Alligator mississippiensis: one gene and its partner. The protein of the gene in region 1 binds, or shares a complex with, the protein of each later gene. Links are inferred from orthologs where the notes say so. Each region holds a gene or a part of one and is shown on either strand. Other genes may lie near its edges. The genes, in order: PPP2R5C and CRYBG1.

Region 1 (3,910 bases):
TACACACAAAACCCCCAAACTTGCCAAACATTATTGGATTAGTCCAGTCTTTCTGCATCTATATTTGGCCTGATTTATTGAGTCCGGTTTATTCAGCCTGGCTTATTCAGTCCTTCTGCATCTATATTCAGCCTGGTTTAATGCCCCAGGAACAGCAAACAGCACTACATTTTCACTGAACTACTTCTCAGGACTTGATGGCTACCAGCGAAACTATCAGTTAATTCTGTTCCATTGCTGGGGAAAAGCTCAGTAACAGCAAACACGCTGGACTGACGCAGGGACGAGGACTAAAAAAAAATGTTAGTGGAAGTAGGACTGGAAGAGACACGTTAAGTCACTGAGTCTAACCCCCTGCTACATAACCCCCTTCTTAAGTGGATCAAGCTCCATCATAAAATGCTTTTACCCCCATTAGCCCTATTCAGAGGCTACTGTGTAGACACCGTATACTAAAGTTACTCACAGGCAACAAGGTCTTTGGGTAATAAAAGTTTTTTTCCAACTATTTTTTTAAGGAACATTTGGATGCTTATCTGCTGGGATCCTTTGACCTTAGCTGACTTTCTGCCCTTTGGGCAGGGGGCTGGACCCAATGATCTTATGAGGTCCCTTCTAGCCCTAATGTCTATGAAATTTATGAAAAGATATTGAATTTACCACCTTGTCTGCATATATCCTTAGACCAACACAGCTACAGCCTACACCCCTGACAGTCACTCACAGGCACAGCAGAAGAGAGAGCATCCCCGCCCCCAGAAATATTAACACAGGGACTGGGAGTGTGGGGAAAGGATAACGCTGAAGCCAGCTCCTTAGTCCCAGTTCCTTGTTTCCAACTCATCACAGACACAATTAAAGGCTGGCAGCGATGAACTGGACAAGCGAAAGAGTTCGAACGTGACGAGAAATAATCCCAGCCGGATCTCAACTCTTTATTCAGGGCTGCGTACTTGAAACACGACACGATTTCACATTTGTATTAGTAAATATACTAATAAAAAACTTATTAGTCAATATACTAATAACAACAAAAAACTCTTCGGCTTGTCGACCTCATCGCGACCGGTCTTCCATGGCGCGCAAGATCGGCGTTGAAAAAGGAACCGGGAATCAGGAACCGACAACTTCAGCCGCCCTCCCGGGGAAGGGACGGGCAGCAGCACAGCGCCTCCCCGCGCCGAAAGAGCGGAGCAGGGCCGGACCCCTCGCGGCGGCGGAGCTGGAGCTGGAGCCGGAGCCAAGCCGGGCCCGGCCGGGCCGGGCCGGGCCGGGTGCGAAGAGCAGCAACAGCAGCCGCCGCCGCCCCGGGCGCAGACCGCCCCCTGCGCGGGGAAGAGCAGCGCTAGCTCTCCCATCAGGGCGCGCGCGGGAAGCCGGGGGCGGCCGGCCGGCTGCGACCCCGCCTCCCGGGCAAGGGGTGGGGCGGGGCGACCCCGCCCAGCCGCCAGCTCCGGAGTGTGACGTTGCCGCGGGGACCCCGCCCCCGGTGACGGGAAGGGGGAACGTTGGTGCCACGTGACGCGCAGCAGCCAATGGCGAGGCGGCGTGCCAGCCCTGCCGGGCGCAAGGGAGGGGTGTGGGTGGGAGGGGGAAGAGGCCGCGGCCGCCGCCGGGAGCCGGAGCGGGGGGAGCGGCAGCGCGGAGCGGGGACCCCGGAGGCCGCGCCGCTGCGGCCCGGCGCTGACCGCCGGCCATGCCGAATAAAAACAAGAAGGAGAAAGTGAGGGGGGCCGGGGGGGCAGCGCGGAGCGAGCCCGTGGCGGGGAGGGGGCGCGGGCCCCCCGGGGGAGGGGCGAGGAGCTGCCTACGGAGGCTGGCGAGGGACGCGGAGGGGCGTCCCGCTCCCGGCGCTAGGGGGAGGCGGAGCCTAATCCCGGGGATGCTGGCGGGGAGCTCCTTGCCTCAGTTTCCCCGCGAGGGGTGGTGCCCAAGGAAGGGCTAGGGCTGGGACGAGCACAGCCCTGCTCGGCAGCAGCCGGGGCCCCCTTCACCCGCCTCGTGCCGTTATTTCTAATGTCAAAATCAGCCCCCAGCCCCGAGTCTGGCTGCAGGAGGGGAGTCGCAGCATGCCACGGGCCTCAGTTTCCCCAGGGTTTGTGGTGGGAGGTGACTTGGGCACAACCCGCCTCCTCCTCCTCCCTTCAGGGCTGCCCTGAGGTAACCAGGTCCAGCCTGTTCCATCCCTGGTCCGGTGCAAGCGACTTGCCCTAGTTGCCCTGGCTTCATGGGTGAGGCTGGTGCAGCCCCGGGGGGGAACCTGCCTTTTTCCGCCAAGGCGAGAAATGGGGCAGAAGCTGGAAGCGCTGTGACGAGCCTTCTTCATTTGCAGGAGCCTGTGAAATCGGGGAAGAGCGGGAAGAGCGGCAAAGATGGGCAGGATAACCAAGAGCATGAGGTAAATGTCATGAAGGCGCGGCATCTTCCCAAACGTGACGCGGTCTTCCCAGATAATGAACGGAAGGAAGCTGCCTCGTACGGAGCGCGGCCGAGTTCCTGGTGATGGGACGGGGAGGGGACCCGCGCGGAGGTCAGGAAACTATGAAGGTTCCTTTGAGGGAGGACAAGAGATCTGTCGAGCTGCTTGCAACTCATGGGAAACGCTCTCAAGGTGTTTCTCGAATTAAAATAGACTGGGTGGACTTCGTGGCTTGCTTTGTGCTTTCAAGAACCCATCGCTTTTCTTCTTTTGCTTTTGTCTGCCTTCATCAGCTATTTGGGGCATAACTCTTATCCTTGCCTTAGCCTTCTAGTCAGGTAATGGGCTTGCCTTTTTTTTTTAAAGCTGCCTACTCAGATTTTTTCACCTGTTAGTTTATCTTCCTCCACAGTTTCCAAAAGCTAGCATCTAGTTCAAGAGAGCCCATCAGTAGCCTGTTTCAAGCTGGACTTGAATGTTTCTAGTTCGTAGCATCCACCTTTCTGTATCTAATGATTTTGCTTTTTATAACCATCTACTGAAGTGTTTCACTTCTGACTGACAGTTCTGCTATTGCTGCTGCTTTGTTCCTTTTATCATCTTGCTGCCTTGCTCTCAGCTCTGCCCACCAGCTAGGTATGATGGTTTCAAAGGGGTCAATTAAATTGTTACTCACACTCCTTCCCACAGAACCTGAAAACATCCCATTAATAGAATCTCTCTGTTTGGAAATTCCAAACCCTGTAATGTTTTAGTGAGTTCTGAAATTCCTTAAAATACATTCACGCTAACCTGAACATATACTTTCACTGAAAAATCCCATGTCTTCCATGTTCCATGGGTGTGTTTGTTATGTCTTTGCTCAAAACATTTCTTTGCTGCATTATGATGTAAACAAACTGTTTGCATTTTTATCCTGCAGAGCAAGTGCTCTATTTGTAGGGAGCTTCATTGAGATTTTATCTGTGTTGCAGATAAAAATATTGTATAAGGTGCATCTTACCAGTATTAGTTTATTCATAGCAAACTGCTAAGTAACCAAATCATAAATGCTCACTGATTAATCTGCATTAAGTTTTGAAATTTGGTCAAGGGAAATAGGCTTTAACAGTAGCTGAAGTTTCTCAATATGAAATAACATTTGCAATAGTTTGCAATAATTTCATTTTATAAATACTCAGTCTCCCCTGCTTGAGTTGCCTAGCTTCAACTTAATTGTATGACATTTAAAGAAACACTTTTTTTTTTTTTTTACTAGGGTTGCACTTCATTAGCAATTATGACAAAAAAAGGTTTTTAAAATCAGTGTCTTTATAGTATATAACTGGACTAGTTTATCCAAGTTGCCCTTATAGAAGAGATTTCTAGGAACTTTTTAATTGACACTTGTTGCTGAGATCAGCTTTCATTTTTTTCCCAATTACTGTGAGCAAACTATAACAAGTTCTCAAATTTTAAGTAAGAGGTGAGAGTTTCAAACACTGAATAGCT
Region 2 (3,910 bases), on another chromosome or scaffold:
ATTCCAACTTACTGACCAAAAATACTGCCATCTGCCCTATGTTATGCTAGGCACTGAAGATACAGGGAAAGACTTTCTTTCCTCCTTTCTGTCTTTCTGTGCTGAGCCCATTAGTGGAGAAAAAGATAATGTGGACCAAGTCAGCTACTATAGTAGTCTGGCAGCTACTAAAAATACCTCAACTGTATTTTATGAACTTGTTTTACTCCAGGAATTCTCCTTCTGCCCCAGGCATAGGATGACTACTACTTACACCTGTTAATACTGTCACTGATGCATGCATAAGGCATGCTGACCAAACATGCAGCTAACCACTTATTTCCAAAGAAAAAGAGCTTAACTTTTTACATCCCTGATTTCAGTGCTATAACCCAGATCCAAGGAAAACTGATGCCCAGGTAAATGCAAATGCTGTGCAATCAGTGCTCTGCTCCCCCTGCCAAACAGTCTTGGGTTCAGTAACCAGTTCCAGTAAAGTCCTTCACCAGTAATGTCACTGAAATTGTGTTTAGATAATTTCCTGGGGAAAACTCATCTATTCCTAAATCACCTTAGTCACACTGATCTCCTAAGTATTTGTGTATGTTTCATGATCACACACGATCAGCTCCAGCAGTGATTCTTAACCTTTTTAGCTCGAGGCACCCCTAGATAGAGGAACCCCATGTACAGAATTGAGGCAGTCCTCATTAAACCCAACACAGCCCTCAAAAAATAGCCAGCCCTTCATTTCCATTCAGTTTTTGGCTAAAGAAAAATTACAGAGCTGTTCTGTTGTGAAGACCTTGGCAAGCCCACAGCAGGGCACAATGGTTTTGACACTACAGTTTCCTCTTGAAAATCTCTAAGTTTATCTTGTGCATCACACCTGTGCATCTAAGAGCACTGCCACTGCATGCCACCTCATGAGGCACCCCAGGGTGCTGCCATAACCCTGCTTGAGAATTACTAGGTTTCAGATGGGGACAAGATAGGGTTAGCTTTAAGAACATAAGAACTGCTATTTACTGGGTCCGACCCTAAATCCTTCTTGCCCCATGCCCTGTGTCATACAGGACTGAGGGGATGCTTTCCTGTCCCTTGTCCATTCTTGTCTCTGGGCAGAATATCACTGGGCAGTGTCCACTGTCTCCTGGGATTTGTTTGAGGGCCAGTGGGTGCTGTTGCATGCGCTCTACTTGGTGTCCCCCCTTGGCACATTAGTTATTAATCTTTGACCATTACTCCCGTCCCTGTTCTTTTATCATTTGCCCCAAGCAATCAGTTGCCACTTTCTCAGTAACCTCTGTCTCTGAGGGGGGCTCATAGTTTCCCGTGGTGAGCTTTTAGCCCACGAATCCCAAAGTGACAAAAAGGCCTGTATCACACAGGCCCAAGGGTCTACTTTCCTGTCCCTTGTGCATTCACATCTCCAGGCAGAGTTTCACTGGGCAGTGTCCACTGGCTCTTCACACTCATTTGAGGGCCAGTGGGCACTGTTCACTGTGCTCTACTCAGTTTCCCCCCTTGGTGCACTTATTTTGAACCTGTGATCCTCACTTCCATCCCTGTTTGTCTTTTAGTTGTCTCGAGCAATCAGTGATATGCCCTTAAGGCCTCCTCCCCCCTCCCCCTGCCCCCATCACCAAGGGAGGCTTAGAGCTCTACTTGGTGAGCTTGGGCCCACGTCACAGAATGGCGTATTAAAAGGTCTACATCACAGAACGTTTCCTGCCCCTCTCCACTCACATCTCCAGACAGAGTTTCACTGGGTAGTGTGCACTGGCTTTTTGGACTCATTCAAGGGCTGGTGGGCACTGTCCAGTGTGCTCTGCCTGGTGCCCCCTCTTAGTGCACTCACTTTGAACCTTTTACCTTCACTCCTGTTCCTGTTTTCTTCGTTATTTTCCCCCAGTAATTACTTAATGTGTACTTTGTAGCCCCCAATATTAAAAGGGGCTTATAGCTTTACTTGGTAGGCAATAGCCCATGTTCTCTATACACATCAAACAGGACCATGTCACACAACACCATGGGGCTGTTTTCCTGTTCTGGTCCACTCGCATCTCCAGGCAGAGTTCCACCAGGCAGTGTCCTCTGGCTCCTTGGACTCATTCAAGGGCTGGCGGGCACTGTCCAGCATGCTGTGTTCAGTGCCCCCGTCCTCTGGGGCACCCGTTATCAACCACTGACCCTCACTCCCATCCCTGTTTTGTCTCCCAGGTGTCCCAAGCAACCACTGCTGCCCCTTTTATGCCCCCCTCTTTTGAAGTGGGGCTGATCGCTCTGCTTGGTGGGCACGGGCCCACGTCCCAGAGCGTGGCCTGGTTACGCAGCAGCACAGAGAGGAGGCTCAAAGGGGGAGCTAACTGGGTCTGACATAGGGTTTGCCTGCTTCCAAAAGTGTGTGTGCACGAGTGCGCTGTCTGCTTCCAAGTATGTGTGTCTGTGTGCTGTCTGCTTCCAAGCGTGTGTGTGTGTGTGTGGGGGGGGGGGGGCCGTCTGCTTCCGCGTATGTGTATGTGTGTGCGTGCTGTCTGCTTCCAAGAGTGTATGTGTGTGTGTCTGCTTCCCAGAGAGAGCGTGTGAGTGTTTTACCCAGGTGGCCGCAGCTCAGGTGTGGGCCACCCACCCCACGGGGAGGCGGGACGAGCCGGGAGCAGCGGCTGGGCAAGTAGCGCGGACAGCTGCCCTGCATTGGGGCCGGGGCACGTCACAGCTCTTACCTGTCCCCGGAGGCGGCGCAGAGGGGCGAGGCGGAGCAGGACGGGGGCAGCCCCTCGCCGTCCTCCGGCGGCTGCTTCCTCCGCAGGCGCCAGGGGCTGAAGGGTGAGCGCTTCCTGGGCTGCCCCGCGGGAGAGCCGCCATGAGGCTCGGGGCGCGCGCGGCGCGGGGGGGACGGCGACTCCCGGCCCATGGTGTGCGGCGGCGGCTGGTCGGCGCCGCCGCGGTGCAGGAGCCTGCGGAGCCCTCCGCCCTGCTGCATGGCCGGGGCACGTCCTCGGGGCCAGCCGCCCTGCCGCGCTCTCCCTGGCGGGTCCGCAGCCGCGGCAGCTCCTTGAGCCTCGTGTCCCCGCACCCCCGCGTGGGTCGTGGCTTGTTGGCTCAAGCAGTTCCCTCCCTCCCGCGGTCCTTAATCCCTCCCCGCCGCCCCAGCAGGTTCCCCGTGTCTTGCACAGGAAGGGAGAGGCTCGCGTTCCCCATTAGCCACCCATTAGCCTCTTGTCCCCGGGCGCAGCCGCCCGCCCCGTCCCTCTGCTCTTCCCAGCAAACAGCCGGTCCGGGGCGCCCGGGGAGAGGGGACACGTCCACTTGCAGCCCTGCTCCGCCCCGAGTTTCACGGCGGCGGCCCTTGTAGTCAGGCAGCTGCTGAGGGAGTCTCTTGACTCCTTTGCATCTACCTCATCCCTGCTAAACATGGGGCAGGGTGTTTTGAAGCCTCCCTCAGAGGCTTTGGGTGTTGGCTGCAGCCCAGGCTGGAGGTTTTAGCTGAGGTGTGTGCCAGTGCACCTGCTGGGCCCGCAGCCCTGGCTAGAGGGTCTCACCCCTTGGTTCAGGTTCAGACCAATTGCCATTTTTAGGGCCAGGAAGGGATTTTACCTCATGGTCAGATTGGTTGAGGAGGGGGGAGTTGCCTTCCTCTGTAGCAGGGGGGCAGGGCCCTTTGCCTGGGACCTCTTGGGCATATGCAGGTTTCCCTCGCCAACCACGGTTTTGAATATCCACGCTTAATATTCTGTATACAATTTTGGCTACCACAGTATACCGATTTGAGTAACCATGGTTTACCGTGGGTGCGCATCAGCCTGCCACCTGCCATTTTCCTCATAAGCCTTTTGTCTTGCCAACCACGGTTTTGCCAACCACGGGAACTTTCAGGAACCTAACCCCAGCAGTTGGCAAGGGAAATCTATATTGCCAATGTCTCATA

The links.
Region 2: the proteins of PPP2R5C (region 1) and CRYBG1 are in contact, whole or in part, in a crystal structure (PDB 6VRO), measured with the Homo sapiens proteins. The link is inferred for Alligator mississippiensis from reciprocal best matches to the Homo sapiens genes PPP2R5C and CRYBG1. Residues at the interface, in NP_002710.2 of Homo sapiens: Lys183, Thr184, His187, Tyr190, Gly191, Leu194, Arg197, Ala198, Arg201, Glu226, Ile227, Ser230, Ile231, Asn233, Gly234, Phe235, Ala236, Lys240, Glu242, His243, Pro265, Gln266, Tyr269; in NP_001358171.1 of Homo sapiens: Pro1136, Phe1138, Ala1139, Met1140, Pro1141, Pro1142, Ile1143, His1144, Glu1145, Asp1146, His1147, Glu1149.

Annotation. Positions count from the first base shown.
Region 1 is NC_081825.1:284,642,458-284,646,367, forward strand, and holds the start of PPP2R5C (serine/threonine-protein phosphatase 2A 56 kDa regulatory subunit gamma isoform), read left to right. Parts: upstream 1-1,605; 5' UTR 1,606-1,696; coding exon 1,697-1,723; intron 1,724-2,332; coding exon 2,333-2,398; intron 2,399-3,910.
Region 2 is NC_081824.1:92,636,612-92,640,521, reverse strand, and holds the start of CRYBG1 (beta/gamma crystallin domain-containing protein 1), read right to left. Parts: upstream 2,939-3,910; 5' UTR 2,897-2,938; coding exon 2,706-2,896; intron 1-2,705. UniProt on the Homo sapiens protein: May function as suppressor of malignant melanoma. It may exert its effects through interactions with the cytoskeleton.